Linked DNA regions of Kluyveromyces lactis. The protein of the gene in region 1 interacts with the protein of each later gene in a biochemical or structural test. Links are inferred from orthologs where the notes say so. Each region holds a gene or a part of one and is shown on either strand. Other genes may lie near its edges.

Region 1 (3,035 bases):
TAGAAAACAATCTTTTACAGGAAAGGTTGACACACATTCAAGCAGAATATGACACCTTGATTGAACGATGGTTACTAAAAGCACAAAGAGAGGCCGATATCATGAATACGAGACTTAAATAGATATGACATACTCTATATGCCTCAAGTTATAAATGAGTTGCGAGTTTTATAAGTGATTTGAAGTTAATTCCCTGCGACTCAATGGTACATCAAATCCCAAGTGCATGAAACTCTTTAAAAATTCAGTTTTCCAAGAAATTTGCTTCAGTAGCTCAGTCGGAAGAGCGTCAGTCTCATAATCTGAAGGTCGAGAGTTCGAACCTCCCCTGGAGCATTTCAATTTACCAAAATTTTTTTAGCTTTCGGATCTTTTCGTTTACTATCACGAAGCCTGAAGTAATAATGTTTTCATGTTGCAACTAAAGTAGATGTTTAATGCTACATTATAGAGGCTAATTCGATGCAATGATTCAATTTAGAATCTGCTCTGCAATTATTTAGTGTACAAATAATAAAAAATTATAGATTGGCCGTGTAATGCTAGGTATCAATGATTCATATTTATCTTCCTTTCAGTCTTGTTGTTCCAATTCATAAATCACTTTGCTGTCTGCAACTGGATCGTATGGTTTTCTCAAGAATTGGGAGAATTTTTTCAAGTTGTTTAAACCTCTAATTTCACCTGCACACAATGGCATCTTAACGATATGGAAATCTTCGTACAATTCATCAATTTGGTCCAAATACTTCTTTTGCATCTTCCATCTGGATTGGCACCTTTTACAGCTGTCTCCTTCGTCATACTCAGCAAATAATAACTGGTTTACAATGATGGAGTTCACGTCCATATCGTATGAGATCAATTCCTGTACCAATCTTTCAGTTTCGTACAAAGACAAGAACTCACTGATACAAACACAGACAAAAGTTGTCATATCAGGATTGGTGAATTGTTCCTTGATTTTTTCCACATTAGACTTCAATTCACTCATTTTACCAACAAGATCGACGTTATTGGCACCAGCCAAAGAATTCAACATTGGTCCCAATCTTGCAGTGATTTCTCCGAATTTCTCCAAGAGTTTAGATAGAGTGCTTGGTAACTGTAAAAACCTTAGAGTGTGACCTGTTGGTGCGGTATCAAAAATAACGGTATCATACCTGTCACCTTCACCCTGTTCTTGGTTTTTGATGTGTTTCATCACTTCCATGAAAGAAAGTGCCTCATCAATACCTGGAATCGATCCTGTCAATTCAGATAGTGCACCACCTTGCAAAAGATCACTGAACTCTCCCGATCCAGTTGCATTATTGGCAACAGCCATATCATTCATATCCTTCAAAGCGGCAGAAGGGTCAATCTCCATACATGACAAGTTGTTCATCCCAGTGACTTTTCTTGCATCTTTACCAAACTTCTCACCGAAGGCGTCGCTTAAATTGTGTGCAGGATCTGTAGAAATCAATAGATATTGTTTCTCTGGTTGTGCCAAAGCCATTTGAATGGCAATCGAACAAGATGACGTCGTCTTACCGACACCACCCTTACCACCGACAAATATCCATCTGTGTGTTGAGGAAGTTATCAAAGAGTTTAGATCTGGTTCAACTGTTAAATCCATTGTACTTTTCCGCTTTACTTGGTCTCAGGTTTACACACTTACTGATTGTTATTCCTACAGTTGAAATAAGAGGGCGTCTTAGTTGTAAAACTTCTGTTTATCTACGCATGTCGCCACTAAAAGTGACAACAAATGCTAAATATCTTGCTGAAGACTTCTTCTACGTTCTTTTAAAGAACACGTCACTATATACGGTGGTGATAATAATTTGATATTTACCAATCGCATACCGAATAATAAAGAACATGGTACAAATACTTTGAGTTTGCTTCTCAAAAAGTCTTGAATCTTGTTCTCTTTCGAACCTAAATGGCTTTGAAACATTGTGAAATTAAACGATATTATTTGATCGATGTTTGCCTCAATGATGGTGATTCCTTTCTTATTAAATATGTGTGAACCATAACGACACGTTTAGATCAAAAAAAAAAGTTGCCCCATATGAAATAAGAATTTACATGGTGAATGCCAAATCTGAAACAATTGCGAGCTAAATATTAAAACCAATTGGCGTCTTCAATGCAAGTGAGTACACACATTCGAACAGTTGATTATGTCTGAACTATCCCCCGAGGAAGAAAGAGCCAGAAAGCTCGAAGAAGCCAAGATAAGGGTTGAAGAGTTAAAGAAGAAGAATAAAAACAAGAAGAATAAGAAGAAGAAGGACAAGGAAGATCTTGAAGCAGCTGAAGTCAAAACTGAAACTGAAACTGAATTGGAACCGACTGATACTAATGTATCAGAGAGTCCGGTTCATTCAGATGAACAACCAATCGTGGAAGAGACAAAAGCTGAAGAAAAGGCTGAGATAAATGCTGATGCAAAGGGCAATGACAACAACGAAGAGAAGTTTGAAAAGGAGTCTGTGGAGAAGTCTGAAAAAGAGTCTGCGGAGAACAAGAAAGACTCCGAGGAGGAAGTCCTCGAGAAGGAAGCAACTGATATACCCAACCCAACCGAGGAAGTGTCTAAAGAAGCTTTTGCAGTTCAACAAAAAGAGGAAGAACCAATAGAGGCAAAAAGTACAGATGAAGTTGAAGAATTGTTTGGCGGGAATGATGATAAAGAGAAAGATTTCCTTTCGACGATACAAGAACAGAAAAGCCAAGATGAAGTAATAAACCTCAAGGAAGAAGTTTCAAAGCTAAAAGATCAAGTAAAGCAATTGAAGTTTGTCAACATAGATCAAGAAAGCTCCATAGAAGAGCTTGAAGAACAGATAAACATCATGAAATCTCAACTCAATGATAAAACTGTACAATTGCTGTCCGCTCAGCAGGAGCTATCTACGTCTAGACAAGAAGTAGAGCAGCTTAGAGCAACACAATCACCACAACTAACCCCTGTGGAATTCTCTTCCTTTGATAGACATTCTCCATCCAAATTCGAGCCATCGAGACAGATTCAGCAT
Region 2 (2,625 bases), on another chromosome or scaffold:
CCCTTTATAGGTTGATTAGACCACATCAACAGAATCCTTTCAAGCAAATCAGTCATGTGGTGGTTATTAAAGTGTCATTCTTTGCTTTGTTTCCTTTGCATGTTTCCTTAAAGGTTTCAACGCCGTCAACAGTGATTGGGCATCGGTGTTACAACATCAAGCTGGTTAAAGAAGGACGATAAGGGTGTCACAATGGGTTAGTAAGGGTTCATTTATGGCTGTGCATGGTTTAATCCATGCTGGGCTATCTATACATACCGATAGATATGAGCTTTCTCGGGGCGGAATGATCTTTATGCCCTTCAATCTGAACGATTCCGATCGATTGATTTCCGAGACATAGTCTTCAACTGATTGCAACGGGTTAACGAACAGGTATGGCTCGATGATACTCCATAAGTTCAGTGTCAAGAGGTCCAATATGACGTTGACAAAATTTCTTCTGGTTATTGGGTTGTATGCAGCCTCTAAGAGTGAATTGATTCGAGTTACAATTTCAGTCCATTCCGCTTGATCCAAATAGTTTGATAATGGGCTCACTGACGTTTCGCCATACCATTGGCCTTCAAACTCTCCTGCCGGAACGAACTCCTTGTTGTGAGTATCTGGTAAGGCTGCTGGTTCAGACCCAGGTAACTGTGTGCTGAAATTAGGAAATTCTGTGGATGACTCAAACCTTCTGGGAATTCGAACGACTCTAGTGGTTCTAAATTCATCGCTTTCTTCAGGTACGTATATGTTTGGAAAATGGGTGATGCAGATTGGATTCTCAGGTCCATGCTCTTCGCATGATTCCTCATCTAGTGCTCTGTACTTTGTAATCACAAATTCATGGTAATTGAAGAATTTCGGTTGTTGTGCAGAAGTTGATTCTTCAACGGTAATCGCAGCTTTAGATAGATCTGAACTGTCTGCAGTATCTGCCAGTACCAGTGATACCATTTGTGTTGCAATGTTACCTGGTAGAATGCCGTTTCTACCTCTTATTTCCCGTATTGATCTGATATCGTTCGTGTTTTTACCCTTTTATGTAGGAATTGAAATAAATTTAACGGAATTGATATTTATGTTCAGATTAACACTAACACAAGTTAGACATCTAATGAAGAGATGTATAAGGGAGTATAAGGAACTAAACTACTACAATATCGCACATCCCACCTCCAATCATGTCTGAACTTGATTTCGTTGGTAAATTTTTGAGTTTGGCCGCTTTGAATGAGCCAAAACTTGCATCGAACTACCGCAAACCATTACATGAAGTTACAAACCTTGGTGTTTCGTTGCCCCCATTGAGGTACAAATATGATCCAAGTAAATCACATTCTAAGAGTATCTCTAAAGTTGTAGAAGTTACCATCAAATCGATCAAAGCGCCTAAATTTGTTCATTCCAAAAGCTTCGAATCTACCGATACCGTGGGTCAGATCAAGGAATTCTTAGTGGAAACCGAGCCTGAGATATATACAACTGGTCAAATCAAGTTGTTGTTAAAGGGTAAAGTCCTCCACGACACTCAATTGGTCTCCGATTTGAACCAGGATAAAATATCCCTTGTCGCAATGGTTTCCAAAGCAGAGAAACCTGTGGAAACAGCACCTTTGCCGAAACCAGCGCAGGAACCTGAACCTGAACTTGAGTTGATGGATGTCGATATGGAGGATCCACAGTTGGATCTTTCATCTCAAACAGATATTGATTTGCCTTGGGATAAAATTAGAACCGTTTTAGAGAGTAGCTTGGATGCTAGCACGGCCTCAGTGGCCCTTGGAAGGCTACAGAAAGGTTGGGAGTTGAGTAAGTAAAAGATAGAACATGTCATTTGTTGGTCCATAATGCAAAACAACCCGGTTATATATGTAGTGATTTTATACTTTTAGATATTTCTGCTCTTTCTTCCATTGGTGATGAGAGAATTACCTCTTTCTGCTCAATCTACGTACTCTTTCTTTGATGTTATTATTCCAATTTACCCCATTTAAACCCTTCTTGAATCCGTATCCTTCGTTAGAAAAGGTTTCATTGATCAGTTCCTGTGCCAATTTGGAGTCTCTCTTATTATTGGAGTTGGTGGTTTCATTCTTCATTACATCTTGGAAGTTCTTGTATTTGGCTCTTTGAGAGATAACGTACTTCTTACATCGTTCGATTTCCTCTTGATTGAGTGCATTGAATCTCAATCTCCTCTTGAAGATGGCTTTGTCTATAATATCGTTGGGGTTTATCAACCGTCTAGGGTATGTTTGAATAGCTTGGAATAATTCCATGTCTTCATCGTCTGAGTTTCGGCTGCTAACGTGATTTAATTTTGGTAAATTGGTCTCGCTTAGTTCGATGATCGCTAACGACATCTTGAAAAGAATGTGTGAACCCTCATAGAAGAGACAATCCCATATACGTAAGGTAGCTTCAATAGGTACTACTCCTATGAAACAGCTCATGAACCAACTGGCAGTACAGAGTGTGACTGGTGGCAACTTATAGAGAAATTCGTTCTTATTGGATAGGCCGGGACTGTGTTGTTGATCTTTATTGGAATATATTCTTTGCCAAAAGTGTGGCAGATACTCTTTTATGCATAGTAAAAGCACACCTTGGTTAATATTGACACCTTCCAGGTTAATA

What was found.
Region 2: the proteins of GET3 (region 1) and MDY2 form a complex in vitro, tested with the Saccharomyces cerevisiae proteins (2 studies listed by BioGRID). The link is inferred for Kluyveromyces lactis from reciprocal best matches to the Saccharomyces cerevisiae genes GET3 and MDY2.

The regions. Positions count from the first base shown.
Region 1 is NC_006041.1:143,356-146,390, reverse strand, and holds GET3 (guanine nucleotide exchange factor GET3), read right to left. Parts: upstream 1,625-3,035; coding exon 575-1,624; downstream 1-574. Other genes in the region: ATG16 (Atg16p), read left to right, coding at 1-122; BUG1 (Bug1p), read left to right, coding at 2,178-3,035. UniProt on the Saccharomyces cerevisiae protein: ATPase required for the post-translational delivery of tail-anchored (TA) proteins to the endoplasmic reticulum. Recognizes and selectively binds the transmembrane domain of TA proteins in the cytosol.
Region 2 is NC_006037.1:674,349-676,973, reverse strand, and holds MDY2 (Mdy2p), read left to right. Parts: upstream 1-1,169; coding exon 1,170-1,805; downstream 1,806-2,625. Other genes in the region: SHR5 (Shr5p), read right to left, coding at 166-942; Rab GTPase-activating protein MSB3, read right to left, coding at 1,917-2,625. UniProt on the Saccharomyces cerevisiae protein: Required for efficient mating. Involved in the production of alpha-factor, the KAR9 and TUB1 location to the shmoo tip and nuclear migration into pheromone-induced shmoos.